3 linked regions of the Drosophila melanogaster genome follow. The protein of the gene in region 3 interacts with the protein of the main gene of each other region in a pairwise test. Each region holds a gene or a part of one and is shown on either strand. Other genes may lie near its edges.

Evidence for each region. The genes of interacting proteins can lie anywhere in the genome.
Region 1: the proteins of CG13022 (region 3) and sima interact in a two-hybrid assay, tested with the Drosophila melanogaster proteins (one large-scale study listed by BioGRID).
Region 2: the proteins of CG13022 (region 3) and Osi15 interact in a two-hybrid assay, tested with the Drosophila melanogaster proteins (one large-scale study listed by BioGRID).

Annotation. Positions count from the first base shown.
Region 1 is NT_033777.3:30,059,510-30,068,085, reverse strand, and holds the start of sima (uncharacterized protein), read right to left. Parts: upstream 5,165-8,576; 5' UTR 5,009-5,164; coding exon 4,548-5,008; intron 1,012-4,547; coding exon 824-1,011; intron 763-823; coding exon 533-762; intron 474-532; coding exon 252-473; intron 189-251; coding exon 22-188; intron 1-21. UniProt on the Drosophila melanogaster protein: Functions as a transcriptional regulator of the adaptive response to hypoxia. Binds to core DNA sequence 5'-[AG]CGTG-3' within the hypoxia response element (HRE) of target gene promoters.
Region 2 is NT_033777.3:6,298,379-6,306,317, forward strand, and holds Osi15 (osiris 15), read left to right. Parts: upstream 1-3,425; 5' UTR 3,426-3,534; coding exon 3,535-3,853; intron 3,854-4,413; coding exon 4,414-4,566; intron 4,567-4,624; coding exon 4,625-4,797; 3' UTR 4,798-5,275; downstream 5,276-7,939. Other genes in the region: Osi14 (osiris 14), read left to right, coding at 873-1,114, 1,581-1,786, 1,841-2,199; CG46396 (uncharacterized protein), read left to right, coding at 5,664-5,975; Osi16 (osiris 16), read left to right, coding at 6,892-7,207, 7,267-7,787.
Region 3 is NT_037436.4:16,935,534-16,942,213, forward strand, and holds CG13022 (uncharacterized protein), read right to left. Parts: upstream 3,420-6,680; 5' UTR 3,410-3,419; coding exon 2,813-3,409; 3' UTR 2,797-2,812; downstream 1-2,796. Other genes in the region: Cpr73D (cuticular protein 73D), read right to left, coding at 3,705-5,050, 5,103-5,284, 6,068-6,205.

The DNA.
Region 1 (8,576 bases), on a different chromosome or scaffold from region 3:
TTAATTCTGTATGTATCTCACTTGTCATCCACATAGGTGAAACGCATATCCAGGGAGTGTTTGGTAAGGAAGGTGCTAGTTCCCAACGGAATCTCAATGTTCGAAGGATGCGGAATTGGTCGGCCAATGGCCATCAGCAGACGTTCGCCCTTTGCATTGACCACCAAGTGTCCCGTGATGTGAATGACCTGAAAACCCCAATAAGGCATGGGTTAGTTGGTGCTATGGTGTCTCAAACTCATTTAGCTCACCTTATACGAAGCGCTCTTGATGTTGATGCTTCGTCCACGACTGGTCAAGGTGCACTTCAAGCGCACAAACAGATCCCGGTGATGGGTGCTCACTCCAGAGTTCTGCTGCGGCTCATCCTTGACCTTCTGGGCAAGTTCACGCTTTAGGCTGAGAGCCTCCTTGATCTCGGCGTGATCGCACTGGTGCGAGTACTCCCAGATCTGTTGGCCAAGTGTGTCAATCTGCGCAAAGTTGAGAGCAAGTTAGAATCTTCTTCAATGAAGTATTTGGATACATTTACCTTGGTGATGCCCAGATACTCGACTACGTTTTCGGACACGTAGGTGATGTCTCCCTCGTGGGACAAGACCAACAGGAATCCGTCCATGGTCTGTTTGAGGAGCTCTCTGGCCTCAGCTCCGTTGAGCCAATCCTCAGTGCCCACTTCCAGCTTGGGCTTGACTTCCTGCTGATCCTCTGCAGTTTCAATGTCCTGCTTGATGTCATCATTGCAGTCGCGCAAGCTGGGCACTGAAATAAGTAATATATTAGATGGTGCTAACAAAGATTTCACATCCTAAGGGAAACTCACCGAACTGCAGCATTTCGCGAATCTTGAGGAAAGCGATGGTGATCCTCATCACGGAGGCCTTGTCCAGTTGGTTGACATCGTCGGTTTTCAATGGCAAAGCAGCCGAGAGTTCCATGAATATCTCTGTCTCCTTGGAGCGACGACATCTAGCCGCATCGCGAGACTTTTCCTTGCGTTTTTCATTGTTCCTGCAAAGATCGATCGGATGGAAAATTAGCATAAGCTCAAAACGAGCACGTACGCCAATGATCAGTGGGAAAAGGGGGGATCTAGCACGGGGGAGGCTGCCTGAAATATGCGTGCATTTGCATGGCTGCACTTTTATACCCGTTTGATTGCTTCTGATTCAATTCACGCGGCCAGAGCTCGCAATTTTTCAATTAAGCAAAACGCTTGTAATTTTCGCGTTTGTTGCCAGGTCGAGCGAAAAAACAAAAGTCGATCGACACGGCGCCAAAGTTCTCGGCAGCTATTCCTAGCCGTCTTTTCGAAAAACACTAACTAATAACAAATAAATAAATAAAGATGAAGATCAAAGTAAATGCTGGTAATCAAAATACTACTGCAGAACAATAAATTATATTCAATTCTAATAAAGCCTCATATCTGAAAAGAATCTCAATGTCGCGACTTTGTAAAAGTATTTTTCTTTTCAACGATGCTGATAAGGAATTTCTACGCATTCCTCATCTACAGAGTCTTAAAAAACATTCGAAATAAATCCAATATTGCCTAGAGGATCCTGACATACAGAGACGACCTCCCTTGGGATGGATACCTGTGCATTCCGAGCTGGCAGAAGAGCCCGGGGACTTAGATAGTTTATAACGTCTGTTTCGGATTCCGAGAATAGCCGGCAGTCACACGTTCCACTGATAAAAAGTGGCTAAGTTGCCTTGGCACCAATTTTCGTGGTGGTGGTCTTTTGGAATATTTCGCCAGGGGATTGACAAAACACCGATGATTTGGCAATTAGCGACTCTGCAGAGTTAGTTGTCTTCGCTGGATGAGTAAGTCCCATTTAAACCCTGGGTATCGACTCGTCTACATTGGCGACGTGTTTTAATCGGCAACCAAGCAGGCAAATCGATCGTACACACTTGTAGGACGACAGAGCACTGACCTCACACACACGACTGACACTATCTTTATGCCAATACGAGTATATTGCGGGAAATTCTAAGAAAAGACGGATGGCCCTCCCGCGGGACTGCGGAAAAACTGTAGTCTGCCAAGAAAATCTCTTGAGTAGCCGCATGCAAGAACATAACTCGTGGCTCTTAATATTTTCTTTATTATCGATATAGTGGGCGAACTTGTATAATCCACGGGTGACGCCCATTTCAGCACGTATGTACATTTATTTCCTGGCATTTTGTTCAAAATTTGCCAACGCTGCTTTATTGATCCGCTGGGATGAAAAAAGACCTGAACACGTCAGGTGGTTCACTTGGGAAAATCTGCCCGGTAACAACGCGAAAATATCAAACTTTTTTGTTAACAAACCCTAAGTACCGCCTGTCAACGGAGGAGTCGCAATCATCAAAAGTCCATCATATCAGCCGACAAAGTCACAGTACAATATGATCTATTGTCAGTCTGCCGCCTGTCTAATAATGGCTTAAGTATCTATTAAAAACAGTATTCCCGTTTTCTTTTACTGTAAGTAAATAAATTGAATAAATCGAAGCAAACTACTTAGTTGTTGAACATAATCTTCTATTATGACATATTTAAATATGAGATAGGACCCCACTAATCGATCGATTGTAAACAGAGGAAATCTTAACATAAACAAATGCTAAACTTGACTTTGCACTCGAAAGAATTTCTATTATTAAAAGAGTATTCTGAACGCCCAGATAAAACGTTGATTAGGAAACTCTGTGAAAGTGAAGAAACAATGCATTCAAATAAATCAAAAATAAATAAAACAGAAACCAGTTTAGATAAGAGGGCTTTTCATTGTCAATCAACCAACTGATGGATGGAAACCAAAGTTTGAAGCGAAACTCGAATGGCTGCTCAAATAATTATTATATAGTATTATATTACTTCGCCAGCAAAGTGAATACTAATATAGGCGTAGACCCGTGGATTTCTATATATATTATATATGCATTAATAAACACAAATCCGATAGTTGCTAGCTCGTGGCCCATAGAAAGCGGCGGAGAGTGACTTTGAATTGCATGCTAATGGCCTGCTTAAATGGTGGGATATTCGCCGGGGGGGTGGGGTTTTGGTTTGGGAGGTATGCACATACATATATATATTTTCGATCGGCCCCATTGTCTGTTCATTAGAACAGAGGCAAGTACGGCATGTTAAATATTCTGCCTGCGCCAGCAGAATTGCCTTGTTATTGCCGCTGGTGCTGCTGCTGTTGTTGTTGCTAAGTATTTCCGCTCCAAAGCAGCTCAAAACACTGAACAAAATTAAGCTATAATATTGAAAGCACACCTTAATATGTGTACTACCCTTCCGTATGATGATTATAATGATGTAGTATGCTGATCTTAAGATACCATTTTCCGCACTTTGTGTATGAAATGAGTTTGAATATGCAAACACCACGATCGCCGCACGTGGCCATCTAAGTCCTGCTGGCTTATCCGACAACACCTTAGGATACTGACCCGCTGTTGTTTGAGTTTGAATTGCGAGCATTGCGAAATGTTGGCCAAGCTACCTCCAAGTGCGCCGTATCTCCGGGCGAGATATCAGCGAAAACACATAAAATACGACTCGAAGTGCTAATGCCAAGTTCATGGGACAGTAAATCGAGGCGCAACAGCGGGTCAGGGATGTTTGGTCTCTTCTTGGGAGCACCATATTGTGGGTGGAGTTCTTCGGGCAGCGCCGTCCTGCAATTGCGTCAGTTTGGTTTCGGCTCATTAGCATGGAGATGGGCCAGCCGAATTTGGCTTAAACGTGTGCAAAACGTAAATAAACCAAATCCGACTACCATTACGAAAACATTTGCTTGCTGCGCACGTTGCATGCAAAGTTTTCAAGGAGGTGAAGTCCAGGGAAAGGGGCTGTAATCTGCGTCAATCGCCAGATAATCGTATACATCAACCAGATGGATTGTGAAACCTTCAGCAGACCCCTAACGATAACTCCTTGGGAAATACCCCACATAAAATCATCGGCGGCAGATAACAATTACACAACAGCACAACTGACAAGCAATTTACTATTTCCACGCAACAATCGAAGTGAGAGAAAAAGTCTTTTCCAGCCCACAATCTTATAAACGGTACCTCTCTTGGGAATAACCCACCGAACCTTGACTCATACGACACCTCTCTCGCGCCATAGTTCCGTCCCCCTCGCCCTATCTTTTGCTGCGTATCTAAATATTATTATAAAAGCGATTCACAAATAAGCATAGATAAGTGCAGCGCCGTTTGCTTTCGGCTCGGGTTTTACAATGGAACACGGCCAATTTTCTAGGAGCTCAGCTCGTTCAGGTGCCTCCAGGAAAATGTAAATCGCTAGCGGCATTCGGCCACCGATTCTAACTGGTTTTTGTTTTGTTTACTTGAATGAGCTAGAGCTCTCCACAGTTATGTAACAACAATTATTAAGCAAAATTGTGTAAATATTCGTACTTGAATACTATTTGATAATGAGATTAAGGAATACCCTTCGTGAAAAACGCAAAATCACAGAATTACCCAAAACAACAAATTGACCAACCACTTTGGTCGTCACTCACATGAAATCCTCGATGTCGACAAACTGGGAGAACTGGCAAGGTTGAGTGTTCGTGGGCGCGTAGCCATAGCAGTAGGCGTAGCTCCAGGGGCGGCTTTCGCGACAGGGCGTGGCCACGTTCAGAAGCGATCCCCTCTGGCGATAGAAGGCGTCCTGGGGCTGCTGCTGATGGTACGGATGGTACCTTTGCATCCCAGTGGAGGACATATTGGGGCCGAGCATAGCGCCCACGAAGGGTTGGCTTCCGGGAGCAGGGCCATTGTAGAATGACCCGTTGCCAAAGTTCACAGTGGGTTCATTGATGGGCATTGGCCCAAAAGCTGGGCCATTTCTGCTCAGCTGCCGCTGCCGCTGCGGCTTGGAATCGCACTCGTAGAAACTAGAACCGGGGATCACATCTTCGCCGTAGAACGAAATGTCGCCGGTACACGAAAAATCGCAGCTCTCGAAGGAATTAAACATTGAGTGCGCTGGAATCCGGCTAAGCCCATCGATGATGAACACACACACGCGTGCGATAAGAGCTGATAGTGTTTTGATTTGGCCACAACTTCACTGCTCCGGATATTTTGGTAGAACACGACGTACGGGAGTTCGAGCGCTAAATGAGCGAAAGGTTCCATAGCCTCGAAGCCATCATATTTATACCTGGGCAGCCGCACCAAAAAAAATCGCAAAAGAGCGGAGAGCCGACGTGAACGTCATATTCCGTGTGCTATCAGACAAGTTTGCCTATCCGGACAAGTGCGCTCCGGCCGGAGTGATAAGATAAAGTCCGGTCCGCCCGCCTCGTAGAAGCATTCAGGTGGCAGGGAGCCAGCGCTTCGGTTCTGCCCAATGGGACGATAACAGCGAATCGAGTGAGTGGCGGATTCAAATTAGAGCCATATAAATTATGTCAGTGCGCCCCACTTCAGTCGATAATTGGCTCGGACCATATAGTCTACTTTGCAGCGACGCCGGAAAATTTCCGCACGTCCAGGACCCATTTTCCGCCCATTTCCCTCGCTCACAAAGTGCAGTGCACGGCAAAGTCATGTTATAATTTTAGAATCTCTGCACCGAGAAAACAGTGCCACTCACTTCGAAGTGAAAATTTGATATAATATTCCAAAATTTTGAGTATTTAACCGCAGAACTGATGAACCATTTTTAGGTATTTCGAAAACTAACCAAAATTCGCACACACAAAATGAGAAGAAATATTAGAGAATTGATCTTTTTCACTGTGCGAGAAAAGCTGCTTGGATGACTAAATACTATCAGACTTATCCATGATTTCCCTAGTCGGCCGATAAGAACTATAACATAGGAGTTAAATATTTGGATTAGTTTGGCAAACAGCACGGAAAGTGAAACGAGATAAGGGAAGCTAGTTCCCCAGACCAAGCAAACGTAATCAAATCGCAATGTAATCAGCTCGTGGAGAAGGCAAAGGAACAGGCAGGGTCAACTTAAATCACTACGATAACCCCTTGTTTACCTGTTTATGCTACACCCGTCTATCACTAAACTATTTCGATGTTTAAATGTATTTCATATAAAAAAACAGTAAAAGTAGTTATTAACATTGTGAGCTTCTTGGGCTTCTCTTTTTGCAGATTGCCAGGAGTCCTTGTGATCGTTAGCTATGGTCTCATCTTGCATCATTCAAGGACTATCTTATAGAAGGTCTGTCAATCCTTTAGGTTGCTACAGTAACACCCGACGACGACCAATTAATTCGAAAGATGTCGTAAGAAGTTCATTGAGTTGTGGCAAGACCAGTGGTTAATACTTAATCCAAAGGAATAGCTGTTTACAACAGAACATCGTAAAGATCTTATCCATTCCCAAGAAAGAAGTTCCTTTGTTCTTGTTAATGTTGTTAGCAAAAAAATGACTTCCAAACAGGTTTCGCAATAATCTTAATCCGAAATTTTTGCTCATTTCACAAAACCTGTGGGGAATTTTCAGCGACTGATTCCAATTTATCGCCTTAAATATAAATTTAAACTTTCCCTGCCAGCAATTGCCGAATCATAACTTACACCGAATGCGATGCATATAGACCTCACACGCAACTGAACAAACGAAAAAGATTCGGAAGCTGCGCTACCTTCACGCTGTCTCCCTCACTCCGCTTATATACGTCTCTCTCGCTGCATCAAGTTCAATTTCATACAGAGAAAGAAAATTAATAGACAAATATATTGAATATGGTACAGTAAGACTAATTTATCTTTTTCTAAGAGAGCGACTGAACTTCGGATTTTACTATTTGAAATTTGATTACCAGTTATTTTTTTCAGTGCTCCAGTAGCAAGCAAGAGTGTAAGCATGTAAGGAGAAGAAGGAGAAGATCAACAATAACTCCACGAGCCTAATACTTGAATACAATGCCATCCATCTTTCTCTTTCTCCCTACATATACAATATATATGTAGTAGCACCATAACACCCCCTCGGGCGTTTCCATCCTCCCCGGATCGTCACATTTTTAGTTCGATTGCGCAAAAAGTAGGTCGTCGTGGCCAGACATGAAACAACAACAACAACAACAATAACAACAGCAGGGCATATCATTTAAATATTTTACAATACACACATGCTTGTGTGTAAGCGTGTTTTACTTTTGTGCGTTTCTCTGCGTTGGTATTGAAATTTATTTATTGCCGACTTGTTTTTAAGTTTATTCATTAGCTTCTTGGCGCAGGCCTAACAGCTTATAGAAATAACGTAAATAGAAAAACAAACATGAAAAATCTTGATTCAGATTCTTTCCTCCTCCAAATTCCGCCAACCAAGTCAACTTGTAATAATTCACTTTTATTGAGGTCACACCGTAGCTGCAGTTACGATCTGTTCAAGATCGCGTGTGCTGCAATCGAAAGAGTCGACCGATAGGCAAAAGGTTAGCGATGAACAATCGGAAAAATCGATGTTCAAAATGTTTGGGAAAATGCAATAAGACAATCTAAATTGACGTATTTCACATGGTGAGACGACTTAAGTCAATTGTTTTCATGTGTCACACTGCAAAATACATTGGAACCAGTTTGGAACAAATGGGAAAGACTCGATTTGTCGGTCAATGGGTCTAATCGAAGCTAGAGCGCATTTTGAAAATGGTTATAGAACCGCTTTTCGGCTTTTCCACACTTATTTTACTGCAGTTTTACGGTAGTCACGTAGGCCAAAGCGAAACTTTGTTTCAATCCAATGTAAATGTCTTGAGTGAAACATAAACTTATCGGTTTATGGGCTTATAAAATAAATAAATTTAAGTATTCGGAGGGGCGTGGACCAAAAACGAAAATAAAACAAAGCCAACAAAACGAAACACGAGGAAAAAAAACGGGTTGATCTTGGAGCAGGGGGGGCAGCATAATCGAACAGGTTTTCCTCATTGTGTTTTGGGTTTTCGCCTCACTTAAAAATAACCCATAAGTGCGTAAGGAAAAAGAGAACAATGCACTCGTCTAAAAATAAATCGCATTCAACGGGGGGGCTTGTCTTTGTGAGCCCTTTAAGGATAAACCTTCTCAAGATAGCAACAAGTGTTTTCAGGCCTCTCTTCTTGCCGCAATGGGCACTCATTCTCCTATCGTATACCCCCTAGATATCATATTCCACAGCGGAAACCAACCATGCATATGCAAACTGAACGATTTCGGTTCGTCTCGACTTTTGTCTTTGAAAGCCTGAAGGTCGCGGGTCTCGGCCATTGGATTCGCCGTCGCCATCGATCGTATAATAATTGCCGCGAATGCAAAAATTAGTTGAACGCGTGATTAATGATTGGCTTTCCATTATATCCCAATGCCTGTTTCGTCAATTAGTGACGCCCATTGAGGGAAGTTCACAAATTCCAGCCAGGCGGGAATTGAAATTCATTAAGTGAAATGCAATTCGCTCCCGTAAGGGTTAAAAGCGCTCTTATTTTTGGCTCAAAATCAGGCAGTAAGGTTGACTCATCTATAAGATACTGATTGCATACGAAACCCATGAGGACCTCAACGAAAGAAAATCAATCAATGTTGATAATTAA
Region 2 (7,939 bases), on a different chromosome or scaffold from region 3:
GAGAAAGAGAAAAACACATTTTTGCGTTCATAAATGGGCTGCGTGAAATATACGGCAACCGGATCGGTTAAGAAGCGTCAGTAAATTAGCAAATATGTGACTTGGCCATTGCGAGAGTCTGATGAAAGCTGGGCGCAAACGTGAAGCCGAGGGCTCAGACCACCGGTAAACACCAGGGCCCCAGCTTCATTGAAGGCGTGTCCGTGGGGACCCAAAGCACCACTTTTTGGTTTCAATAATCTGAGACTTTTTAGGATTCAAGACAGCCCAAGGAATGCAGTTATAAGTGATACCGTGGACCACCCCGGTTATGTAAGCCAGCTGATTTTTGTCGCTGTGCAGACCTAAGCCAATGGGCCGACTGTTTACTCCAGGGCGCCCCTTTTTGGCCAATGGCCAAGACCAAGACCAAGTCCAAGTACGAGTTTCTCTCTCCGCGACGCCAACGTTGACGGATGACGACGTCGCCGGAGCGGCGCTGCCGAAAAAAAGGCAGACCGAAATGAACATGTTCACTTAACAAACAAGTTGACTTTGTTTCCCCGCCGTTCTCTAGATTTATGCGGCTGCGTCTGTGACTCTTTTTTTGGGCCCTGTCTCCAATTCGGAGTTCGCTCTTTTCGCGTCTTGGCCATAACTTCCGCCGTCTCTCGCCGGGCTTTATTTAATTTACTTTTGAATTGTTTTGTAATGCGCACCGACTGCGACGCCGACCGAGAGGCCCAATATATAAGGCTAGATGTCCGGAGACGCATACATCAAACTCATCTCAGCGCTCCCTCAGAAAAGCAGCAGCCCGAAGCCCAGAATTGAAACCCCGGATCAGCTATATTAGCAAGGATTAACCGCGTCTAAATACCAATCGATCGAAAATGAAAGTGTTTGCCATCGCTTGTGTGACCCTCTTGGCGGCCAGCTGCGTCTTTGCCGCGCCCAGTGTTCAAGACAACCAGGTCGAGGGCGACAATACCCTGGGCCGGGCCGCCCGGTATCTGGGCGCCTGTCTGGAGAGCGACGACATGGCCACCTGCCTGGCCGTCAAGGGCATCACCGCACTCAACCGCGCCGCCAGGAGCAACAACATCGAGCTGGCCAGTGGAGTCACCTTCCAGAGGTGTGTGTTTTTTAACAGTGAAAGTGCCTGGTTCTTGAAACAAAAACCAAATCGAAAGCGAAACTGTAACCAAAAGAAGAACGTGCCCGAGATGAAATCTTCAATCCGTGTTAGTTAAAGTAGTGATTGCATCACAAAAGTTGACTAGGAAAGATACTTAAAATGAAATTATGATATCAAGATATGTAGGCAATTAAAAATAAGTTTAGAGAAATTAGTTATTAGATAGTTATATTCTGATACCCATTTTTTATGGTCTTTATAGATTTAAATGGTGAGCCAAGGCTAAGGCTAAAAACACTTCATAATTAATGTTAATTATTATTGGAATTCTTACATAATTCCAAAAATTATGACAGTAAATTTAAAAGTGGTATAATAAGACATTAGAGGCATTCGGCATATAAGTTGTCATAAAAGTTAAGTAAATGTGAAAATGTATTTATAACTTACAATATCATTTTAGGGATCCCGCCAGTCCCGTTTCCCGCACGGGAAAATCGATGAGCGAGCAGGATGTCTATGCCGAGCTGCCCCAGAATGCCGATGAGCGTACTGGTCGTCTAGTGGATCTGGCCGTCTCTAGTGCCGCCGACTTCCTAAGCACCCACAACCTGGAGTTCAAGCTGCCCGCCGAGACCACCCAGCAGGTGGCTCGTGCCCTCGATGAAGGTGGGTTTTGACTTGGGATACGATAAAACATGGTTACCTAACATCCAATCACAGGCCGTGGCAAGATCAAGAAGATGCTGGGACCCGTGGCTCTGGCCATTGGCGCCAAGCTGTTCGCCGTCATTCCCCTGGTGCTCGGGTTTCTGGCCCTGCTGACCTTCAAGGCCGTGATCGTGGCCAAGCTGGCCTTCTTCCTGGCCATTCTGGTCGGCGGATCCCGCCTGCTGGGCGGATTCGGCAACAAGTTCGGAGGTAACTCCTTTGCCGGAGCCTACAACTCGAACGCATGGTCCGCACCCGCCAGCGCCGGCTGGAGCTCGGGAGCCTCCTCGTCCTATCCCTATGCCCGCAGCATCAGCGAGGATGGGTCCGATGCCCAGCAATTGGCCTACGCCGGCCAGCAGCAGCAGTAGAAGCGGCTGGGAGACAGCTCAAACAGATGTGCCTTCGTTTTGAAACCTTTAGCCTGTAGTAATTTATTCGAAATGTAATTAACTAATTTATTGACACACCACGCACACATCACCCGCAAGTCAAGTCGAATGTATGAATAAAACCAAGAGTATTGCACCCGAAAAAAATATAATCCGCAAATCCACGCACGTGGACAGTGCTCACCTGTGCCCAGAGACTTTCCCAGTTTCCCAGGGCTTAATTGAAATGCTGACAGACCCCAAAACAAATATGTGGAACTTTGCTCGCTGGGCGGCAACAAGTTTGCGGCTGGCAATTAAAACTTGTGGCAGGTTCTGTTTCTGAACACAAAAAAAAACCCAAAAGAACACAGAAAATGTTGAGAAAAAGAGCTGATAAGCTGGGGATTTAGTTTTTGGCAAGTTGGTGGCCTGCTCATAATTGGAGTTTCTAGTGGCCATGTGACGGCCGTTCGGCATGTTAATTGTTTGCCAGAAACTTTCTACTTATGCTCATAAAAGTGTCACTTTGCGATTGAAAAGAGATATATGCGGCGATGTGCTACAATTCAGCTTTCTTTCACAGGCAGATTTAGAAGCAATTGAAATAGAAAACAAGCCACGAACGACAGTTGACAAAGGGAGAATGAAATCGAAAGCGTTGAAAGCGCCAGAGTAACTAACTGGGCCAAATTGTGCATTAAGTCACCACCGGCGGGGCATACCAAATACGTGTGGGTCTCGCAGATCCACCACTATATTCTCCGCTCCATCGTGAGCCCTGATGGAGCTAATGGAGAGGAACAACCGGCCAAGAATCTGGCGCAGGCAATCCCAACACGTAGCACCGGCGACTCCATTGAATGCCAATTAGGATACGGATAACGGTCGAGCACCCGAAATCGGGCCACTTGCTTATATAAAATATATGTATGGTATATACAAAAAAATAATATTCAGCCGGCCGACCACTGGCCACTTCCCTTTCGTTGACATCGCGACGTGCGTGGAAATATGGTCAAGAAACTGCCGGCCAGGTAGCATACGCATATGCTTTGCATAAATTGCTTTTGGATTTTTGGTATTGCCGTTCGGTATTGTTATTGTTATTGCAGCGGCGAGCGGTGCGTTTTGGATTTTTGGCCTGCCACGCGATTTCTAGCCACAAAATTGGTCAATCGACGTCAAATCGAAATGGTATAAAACGCGGGGGCAGTGCATTCAATTAATCACAAAGCGATTCCCGTTCACATCGGCAGCACTCACCAGCTCCAGGCAGCCGTCCCACGGATTATAACCTACCCAAAGTCAAGACACCCCCAAGTGCTAATAAAAATGTGCGCGAAATTCGTATGTGTAGTGCTGCTGGCCAGCCTTGTGTGCGGTTCCATGGCCCTTCCCTCCCAGGACAACACCGAGCGGGACCTGGTCAACATGCTGAACCGCTTAGACAGCGAGGAGTCCGTCGCGCTGTTCGGCGGTCTGAGGATCGACCGGTCGGAGTCGGGCCGTAGCTTCGGTGCATCCAAGGCCGTCGAGTCCTTCGAGGACCGCGCCGAGCGCTACCTGGAGACCCACGAGCTAAACCTCTCCTTCTCCGGCGATGAGCAGGACGAGAACTCCGAGAACGAGTACACCGGACGCGCCATGGATGGTGAGTGATCTTGGTTTCCTTTATTTGAAAAACAGAATATAGTTTAATCCAAAGAAAAAAAAGCTATTTAAGCTACTTGCTTTTAAAGTTTTCATATTGCGTTGAATATCTTAGATACTTAATATTAGGTCAGAATTTAAAAATTTGTATGTTTTTGAGAGACATAAATCGATAGAATGGTAGTAAATACGTGAGTTGATAGCCAAAGAATTTTGAAATAATTTTAAACGAGTTATAAGTTACATTTTTATTAATTACTACAAAAACAGAGGCATTCGTGCGCATACGAGAATAGCTTTGGTAAACCGTCCTGGCTCTCAAGTCGTTCCTGTTCTGTACGGTAAACGAACACTTCAAAGTCTACTTACTAAGGCTAAACGTACTAAGGTCCACTCTGCTGTGCAGAAAGCCAACTGCCAAAAGCAAAACTACTAGCATACTCAGTTGTGCTGACGGGAAGCGAAGTGAAAGCTTTACCTCGACTGCCAGGCCTTGAATACTTTTAGGAGCATGGCTAAAACCCCGATTTCTCTTTACTTTCTCCCTCCCGGAATAAACAGAGTCCCGCAGCAAGCGCATGAAGAAGATGCTGCTGCCCCTTCTTTTGGCCCTGAAGCTGAAGAAGGCCGTCGTTGTCAAGATTATGTTCACCATCATCAAGTTCATCTCGCTGAAGGCTCTGGCCATCTCCTTCCTGGCCCTCATCCTGGCTGGTGAGTTTACTTTTAATGATCTCAGGAATAGCACTTTTTACCCACGTTTCCCGCACAGGTGCCACCTTCTTCAAGGATCTGTTGGCCAAGAAGAAGGAACACATCACCACTGCCTACATCACCGGCAGCCCGCTGAACGCCGACATCGTGCACTCCGACTGGAGCCGCAATGGTCAGGCAGGTGCCGCCGATCTGGCCTACAACCACTATGGTCTGGCCCAGCCCTTCTAAGCCGGAAAACACCCACCGATCCATCCATCCCACTCTGTACTAGCCTCTATCTTTCACCTGCTATATCTTATCCTACCAAAGCGTCTCCCTTCTTCAACTTCCCCCCACTTCATCACCATTTCCACAACCTATCCCTCTAAGACTTTCCTGAAGAATGGCCTAATTCGTAGTCAATAATTATTTAGTTACATTTAGTTAGTTAGCTGCGACATACCAAAAAAAATCACAAAAAAAGAGAACTATTGAAACGGTCCCTCGACTCTTGGCTAGCCCAAAGGACAATGCTTAAGGATACTACGGCCAATCAATGATTGCGCCATAATTATTGCACATTTCCCCATCCACATGTCTCTTGGCGGTCGTACATGTCACTCAGGTTCATCGAAAGCAACGAAGATTATGCCTGCTAAAGAGCTTACTTACTAAGTATTTATTCGTACAACTTAAAGCAATTGAATAAAAATGATTCATCAAATGCAAAACCATAGAATCTTTAAACTTTTTGCCCGAGTCGGAAACTTTGGAAATGTACAGGTATTATACTTTTAAAAAGGCAATGACTTGTATAATTTCCGGCTCAAAGCTTCCTTATTGAGTCTCAAAGGTATTTTCTGAAAAATCACTAGGAAGAGTGTGAGCATCAAGCTGGAAAGTGAAATTAGTGGCTTTTACTTAAACACTTTCCTTGAACCTCTTGCAAAAACAAATCCATTGAAGACACATTTCCACTTAATTATATTAGCAAAGTTGAGTTTGGGCCCGTGGCTTTCTTTGCGTCAACTTCCTAATTGATGTTTAATCAAATGTCCCACTTGGCGTTGGTATAAAAACACCACTCATGCTGACCAAAAGTCAACAGAATCAATATGAACGGCTTAAGCAACAAACTCATTGGCTGTCAGATTAAATTCGCCTTGATTGTTGGCCTTTTGGTATCCTTGGCCTGGGCACTTCCTGTCGAGGATGATGGAAAACCCCTCATAACTGAAGATGATGCTGTGAACACCGAGCAGCCAATCGAAGCTGCCCCTGTGGTTGAGGAAGTGGAAAATGTTGGACAGCTCCGATTCCCGCCTTTCAATAACAATGGAACCAAATTGTTCGAAAGATTTGGAGAAAAATTCAGGAACAAGTGGACCACAACTACAACCACAACGACACAGAGTACATCAGGATAAGCTTCATAAGAAAAATTAAAAGGATCAACACACAAAAGATTGTCACATACTTCACATAAATATTTATTTAAATTCATTTTATTATGCCCGAAATAACTTGTCTTATCTTTACAATAAAAATACAACGTATAAAAGCATATAAGAGTATGTTGAAAACAATATTTTTGTCAACAAAAATGTTTTAATAAAATTAAAAACACTGTTTTTAAGTGAGCACTGTAGTAGTCTAGTAGATTGCATAATCGTTCCAAGCACCCACTATAAGCTCAGATTGGGAAATAAGACACCTGCTAGGCAAAAAGCGAAAATCAAAAGTCGACCAACCAATTGGTCATTAGCACTGCATGTAATCTGAATATTAAACAGGTCGTTCTCGGCGTGGAAAGATAAATTTCTTCATGGCCAATACGAGGAAAGAAAGTAGCGAAACGACGCTGGGTCAGACACAAATGAAAATGAAGTAATAATTAACAATGAGTTGTTAGTTAGTCCCAGTTAGGCAGGCAAAATGTTGGGTCTTAATTTATGAAGGTCCGAGGCACGCGACGTTTATCAGGCACTTGTAATTACCTGAACTCCCGAGTCTGGGAGAGTTTTCTTCTCGGACTCTTGGGGAATTCATTGGCTGGAACTTTTGGTGACAGAATTAGCCGGCCGTTTCGCAAGACCGACCTCCGCTGGCGCAGAGGAAAGCGAAAGTGCCGCCCAGTTGGACGCAGCTGACTGACGCTGGGAAGAATTTCGACCACAAATCGTTTGAGTAATTAGAAAAGCACAAGGGCCCCAATACGGACGGAGTACGGTTTGGTGAAAGGGAAATGCGAATGGAAACCGTGGCAGCGGGTATAAAAGCGAAGGCCTTCAAATCGAGATGATGCAGACTCACAAACAGTCTCCATTGCAGTAGATAGCGAAGATGTTGCTGACCAAGACCGTGAAATATCTTTTTTACTTGGCCTTATTCGCCTTCATGTGCAAATATGCCACGGCTGCCAGTGTCCAGCCCACCGAAGTGCCTGCAGTTGCTCCGGAAACCATTAGAATACCCCAAAGGGCAGAGAGCCTTCTCAGTGGCTGTGAAGCATCTTCCTTCAGTTGGATGTGCCTCAAGATCGAGTTTGTCAAGATCATGGAAAAGCTTGCCGAACAGGAGGAACTAAACGTTTTGCCAGGAATCAGCGTGGTCAAGGATGAGAACGCCACCGAACTCAAGACATCGGAGCTCATGGCAGGTATGTTCTTGAAAACACAAAAATAAAGACAAAAAATTTTAACTTTCGACAATATACAGAAGTTGCTCGCAGCTATCCCAGTGACCCGAGCACTCGCTTGAATGGCTATATAGTAGCCAAACTGGAAAACCTTCTGAGAACGCGGTTCCTACGATTTCGCCTGCTGGATGACAAGTCCCTCGTAGAAGGTCGCAAGCACAAGTTCGGCAAGAAAGGAGGCTTGGAGGCCCTAGTGGCGGCTGGAGTCATGATGAAGGGAATGCTTATGGCCATGGGCCTCGGGGCCATCGCTCTGATGGCCGGAAAGGCTCTGATGACAGCTTTAATGGCCTTGACCCTGTCTGGAGTCCTCGGTCTAAAGAGCTTGGCCGGTGGCGGGGGAAAGTCCACCACATACGAAATAGTGGCTAAACCAATTTACACCTCCAGCCACTCGCACTCGGTCACTCACGAAGATGGAGGTCACTCCCACAGTCCCCACTTTGCCGCAGGAGGTGGGGGTGGTGGTACTGCCAGTGGCTTTGGCTACGGAGGATATGCGAGGTCCCTGAAAGTGGATCAATCAGCGAACAAAATCTAATAATTTTAGAAAAGAACCGACAGTATCATTACCTAATAACTAATTAATTTATTGTACTTTAAGAAACACAATACTCAGCAAACTCAGCATTGTTTTTGTTTTATTGTGTGAACAGAACAGTTAAATAGACGTTGCCGATCTTCCAAATAATC
Region 3 (6,680 bases):
AGTGCTGGCCGGGCCCAGCGCGTCTGTTTATAACATTTCCATTAGCGATGCAAACGACGAAGCGAAAGAAATGGCCAAGAAAACAGGGCCCGATCAGGTGTAAGAGAACTGGGTTTTGGGCAGAAGAGAGAGTCGAAGAGAAGACCGCGATTCGGGCACGTAGTCGAGCGCCTTGGCCTGGCTTTTATCTGGGGGCGTGGATCTGTGGGATTTGGTTACCAGCTCCAGGGTACACAACACCAATTGATATGCAGGCTTACAACTCTAGGATTTCGCAGATCGAAATCTTCCCCGATCCCTTGGGTTAGGCAAATAGTTTGCCTAACATATTGTCAGATATTTCTCAAGCATTTGATTAAATGTGCTGACAGTCGCTTCTTCAGTCTACTGTTTCGCAAACTCGCACCTAGCAAGAACACAGAATCACAGCGCTGACTTTGATTAATTGGCCGTTTATTGGCTTGATTGAGTGTGACTGGACAGGAGCGAAGTGACTGGCCATTACAAGTGGAGTGAGCCACGAGAATAGAAGCGAAATGCGTGTGGGAAGTGGAAAGGTAATCAGCTCGGAACGGGCCCAGAACATGACATAAGCCAAAATGGTAAGAGACTTACCGTGATGAAAGAATCGATTCGTTGCCGGGCAATTCAATTAAAATGTTTGCCTGGAACTCGTTAGAAAGTTTCGCACATAGTGACTCAAGAGTCATGTTCTTTTTTTTTTTTTTTGATTTGACAAGCACTTCGGCGTGAAGACTTCACACACTTCTCGGGTATCAACAGATGTCAGGATTAAGACTTAGCTTCGGACCGTTTTTGATCGATAATCATGAATAACAAATGTCTGAAATCAGAGAAATTGATTTCAGGTTCGTGCCTTAAGTCATTTGTTTTCATTGCAGACCAGTCTTTATTAGCCCAGAACCATTAATTTTGTGATTAACTTTGCTGTGATACAACTGCAATTTATTCTTTTATTGGCTTTTATGCCCCGAGCAGCCAGCTACTGACTGCGCTGTGAAATAATGCATATTCCTTGATTAAGCAGCATCGAACGGGGGGTCGACCTTTGTGGCACACGCAGGCATCAATAAAATTGCCACAAGATTTATGGTTTCGAGTGCGCAGAGCCGAAGGGAGCATACGAAATTAGCAGCAACACGTTGTAAGCCCCGAATGCGCCACACGCACCACTTGATCCACAATTGGAATGCAGCAATCAAAAGGCGATAAATCGAACCCCAACTGAAATCCAAGCAGCCGAAGAGCGAGTCGAGAAGTTGAAGACCGAAGACCGAAGACCGAAGACCCAAGACCCAGAGACCTTGGGGCCTATTTATAAATGCAGGCGAAACGGGACTGCTAGTGGGATGTCGTTGCCTAGGCCCGGGCCAATTAAGTCTGACCTTCGGCGAGGAGGAGAATCCCAGCCCAAACCGTTGTTTATGAGGGGGAAAATAAACAGAAACAGCTAACTGGCACCTGGGAGAGCCGGAGCCCCAGTAATTTGTGGTTTCAATGCAGGCCGTTCTGCTGCTACGCTAACCCAATTATGCACCTCGGCTACTTCCCAGGTGAGCCATTGATTTCTACGCTGAGAACGTGGCCATTTCAGCCATACAAACCCTAGACCCGGCCGAATAGAATCTATGTCAAGCTATGGCAAGCTTTTTAGTGCTCTTCTGTACGTTCTTTTAGTGCATTCGGCGAAGAAAGTTTTCGAGTGCGTAGGAACTTGTTTCAGGGAAATCACTCGCTTAGATCTCTTGACATTAAAACTTAATTGTGGCAGTGAAACTTTCGGTCAAAACTGGCCCATGTAATAACTTTTTGTTTTAGCAAATATGCATATTATTATTGCTTATGGGCTTTTCTTGGCTTCGCGCGGCCAGAAATATATTTTATTTAGGCCACGCCGTGGACGCCAAGGCTTTCCGTTCGATTCAAATTATTTGGCAAGTGCGCGCACGCGTCGAACATTTCAAATGCTGTATTATTTTGGTCCCTTTCCGACATGAAATTGCCCAAACAAAAATAAATAAGCCACAGAGCTGACTCAATTTGGCTTTGGGATGCACTGTCCATTTGTAAAATGACTTTGTGCGACCGAATATAACCATTTTTATGATCGGAAAATCAATTAGGGTTTATAACATGCATAAATCGCCGCAGTTGTATCGTGCCAAAGCACGCGCCACAAGCAATTAAAGCTCTTACAATCATTTACGATCAGAAACTGACAATGTTTACCCTTATCTACTTTATGCAAACATTTTTATTGTAAAACGTTTAAAAATTATGTCCAGGCAAGAAAATTTTCTATTAATGCGATGACCGCTTTTATGGAACTCAAGTTATGTTTCTTTTTAAAATGAAGAAAAATATTCTTTCTACCGTCCTATTTAGCATAATATTATATTCCAAGATTTACAATTACAAAAAGAATTCATACATTTTTGGACATCTATTTTTACGTACATTTTTTTTTTAATTTCACCATTATTTATAAATGTTAATATAATGTCTTCCGATCCAAAGATAATTTTGTGCCGCGTAGAAGTTATGAAATCCAGAGCTCTCGATAATATTTGACTATTGCTTGCATTCTATAACCAAGCAAAGCTGCACTCTTTTCTTTGAATGAACTCTGTTTTACAAGTCATTCATTCTTTGACATATGTTTACAGTTCAGATCCCCGATCACGTAGGTCTCAAACACGACAGGTGACACTGTCAGATCTCCAAAGACTTCCAGTAAATAACGCAAAACACCCAAGTAGAACGAGCAATAGTTTTGGCTAATATATTTTATTTACGTGTAGCCACGATATTTATGCAACTCTTGCAGGCTAGTCAAGGCATTTGTTTGGATTCCGTTTCCGATTTCGATTTCCGAGTGCGGTTCAGCGGCGGTGGTGGCCTTGGCCAAATTGCCACCCATGACCACGAATCCGATGCCGGCGCCCGCCTTGTAGCTCAGCTCATGGTAGCCAGCCTCATCGTAGTAGGAGTACTTGCCCAAAACATTTCCCGCCTCATCGGTGTGCTGGGCATGCGACATCTGGTCGGTGCTGAAATCAAAGTTTTGCTGGCTTTGCCGGTGCTTCAGGTGGTTGGTCGATGCTAATTGGTAGCCCGCACTCAGCGAAGATGTTGCCACTGCTAGGTTATCCTGTGTATTGTAGGAAATCCGGGAAAGTGGATTCTGTCTTGTCCTCAGAGATTGATGCACAAAGTTCAGCGGACCAAAGGAATCCAGAGAAGATGCCCCAAAACTAGGCTTAACGACACTCCTATCCAATCTATCGCCATCCGTGTTGTAGGAGTATCCTTGTCCATTGAACTGCATATACACTTGCGCTCCTTGAGCACAGGAAACTATCAGCGAAGCAATGAAAAGCACCAACATCATGTTCAAGTCTCAGAAACAACTAAACTCCGAGCATGCTAAGTCATGGGGTTATATGTGGATTCAAGGAAACCGCAATGTGCAGATTAACCTGCTTATACCCGGATCCACGGATATCAAATAACTATTCGCTAGAGATACAGATACAGTTTGAGATACAGATACAGGCAAAAAATGTATTCCGCTTTAAATACTGTTTTAGTTTCCATGTGGAGTCAACCCAGTTTCGGTTACTCAACACTGATCACTTAGAGCTACGCACTACAAACTACAGATCTACAGATCCAATGGGTGCTTAGTGCTCCCTTGAGGCATTCAGCTCGGCGATCTCATCCTGACGCAGTGCCTCCGACGGCGAAAGTCCGATCCTTCCGCCCAAGGGTATTATGTCGATGTTCTGGACATGGGCACGCACACTTTGACCAGGCGGCAGGCCCACGTACCATTTACCCACGTTCTTGATGACGGTGGAGTCGCGGTGTCGCTGCACCCACTCCCGATCCCTGTCGATCTCTAGAATTCGGTGGTTGGCGGTGACCAGAGGAGGCAGTGAACTGCCCACATCGTCATCGTTGAGGTGGTAATTGTCCCCGGGTCCGCTCATGGCACTGGTGCCCGATCCACCTGTGGGCGGCAGGTAGCCCAGGCCGGAGTCGCCTTCCCTGGAGGCTCCAGCTCCACCTCCTCGACGACTGCTTCCACCACCGGCAGCACCTCCCCTTCCTGCTCCCCGCTCAGAGGAGACACTTACTCCACCAACGCCGCCGAATCGGTTTCTGTTTCGGGACCCACTAACATTGTTTCTCGTGGAGCTACCTGAACCACCTCTCTGAGAGCTGTCACCTCCGGCATCGTATCTAGTACTGCCCCGTTGCGGACTACCCGCAGGGAACCCTCTTCTGTCTTCTTTGCCATTAAAGTTGGTGGAACCAGAGGAGCTGCTGCCAAGCCCAATGTCATCCCCTTGGTCATCAGCATGGTGTCCCAGATTTTCATCAGCTGCCCCAGCATCACCATCTCCACGATTCCTATCTCTTGCTCCATCAGCCGGCTTTAGGTAATCTTTGCCTCCGGGTCTGCTTGGAGTACGGCCCCTTCCCGCTCCACCTGCACCACCACTTGGCCCCGAAGCTCCTACCGAAACACTTCCCCCACCTGATCCACCACCACCTCCCTTCGGACCTAAGCCACCACCAGCACCCCTGCCAAAATCATTAGCCAGTCGGAAATCTGGATCTGTCAAACGAAAATCAGCCACAGAGGGATTGTTATGGGTTCCAGGACCAATCCGATTTTGCACCACCCGGTAGCCAATTCCTGCTCCAGCTATATACTCCACTGTCCGCTGCACGCCCTTGTCGTCCAGGAAGGAGTAGGTTCCTCGCACCAGGCCATCGGGTGCTCGACTTTCTGCCCGTCGGTGATCCGAACCTGAGGCGATCAGCTTATAGCTTCCAGCCGGCCCCCTTTGCACAGACATCTTGCCGCGTGCTTTGGGATGGGACGTGTACAGAGGACTGGAGTACGCCACAACAGATGGGCTGTCCGGCACAGCGTTGGAGATCTCGAATCCGGTTCCGGCTCCAGCTGCATAACGAACACTGTGCCGCTCGCCCACGTCGTCCAAATAGGAGTACAGACCTGGGATAGAATCAGTTAATATACTCTTAAGTACCATACTCGCTAAACTCGCCTCTTATCCTATTCCCGGAATCATTCTCCTCGCTGCGCGACTGATCCGGAGTGCGAAAACTAAAGCTGTAGGATGGATCGTCGAAGGGATCGGCCAGCGGATCGTCCGGACTTCCCCGCGGCAGTACCGGATACTGAGCCAGGTCCATTTTCCGATGGATTTTCGGTCCGTTCACGCGAAATCTATGTGGGAAATAGAGGGAGATTAATTAGCTACCGACACAATGAGTGGGGATTGGGTAAACCCTTTCAGCGGAAGCGGACTTGCACTGCAATTTTGAATATAGATTCGATCTTAGCCCGGCACGCCATTACTTCGATTACTACACATCTCGGGGAACGATCCCATTCAGAATCATCGCTATCGTTGAGCATCTGCCATCTACAATCCATTCCTCTTTTTTTTTTGGCTCGAATCTCTCAGGCCAGTCAATTTGTTAACAGCTTTTTGTTTCCCCCGATTTACCGGAGATTGCAAAAAACAACAGTAGCGCCGAAGCGGTAATGGAAAAACGTTTAGGCAACGCCAGAAAAAGCAGTCCAATGTGTTAGAACGGCTCCAACTCCATGGATCCCCCTCCGTTTGTTTGGGTTTCGCTTCAGTGGCCGCCGCCTGCCGCCAACCGCTGATATATGAGCTCAACTCTGACATCGAGGGGAGATAACTCACTTTGTGCTGCCACTTCCTCAGCGGCCAATACACTCAGGAAAAAACCGCCGACCTTCCTCAAGGAAGTTACCTTCGAGTCATGTATACCCACAGAACTTATCGTTGCCTAATTATTTTTAAAAACATTTGAAATACATATATTTTAAAAATTATGTTTTTCTTTTACGCATATTTTGACATCATCAATTTTAAATGCATTTTTCTCCACACATATGCACTCTAAAATGATACTATTTTCTTGCAGTGCACCAGCGCACTTTACCCACTAGTCTTGGCTACCGTCTTCGATTACTCACCCACGTGGTCCGGCTGTGTAGACCGTCTCCTCGATCTGCCCGCTCGCCGGACTCCGCGAACCGTAGCGACCTCGCACCGTGTTGTCCGGAGTGCCCGAGGCGCTGTGATAGTAGCCGCCAATGTCATCATTTGCATGTCTTTTGGCCGATTGGAAGCAGTAGCAGTAGCAGTACCAGCAGCAGCATATCCATTATCCATGCCAGGTGGGATCCATCGAAACAGAAGTAATTGCGTTGCCCCATGCGTGCGAAATGGAGAGGGAAAGATGGTCGGAAGCGTGTTATTGTTGTGGTTGCAAAACGTTGAGGCGTTAAAGAGGTGCTAAAAATCTCAAATTTTCTCGGGTGTAATGGTGATGGTAAGGTAGCAGACATCATTGACCGATTAGATGATTTGTTAGATTTATGACCCATGGCTGCTAAAAAACTGTAATTGAGTTGTTCTCTTTTCAAAAGGTTTATTATTCTACCAAACAGCTAAGTTTGTACGCAATTGGGGAAGGTTATTTCTTATTTTCAGCGACTAACTACTTTTAATCCTTTTTTTAAAAGGAAATTGGACGACAATGAAAGTTCTATTCTATTTAATGTAAATTATGTTATTTGGTTAAGT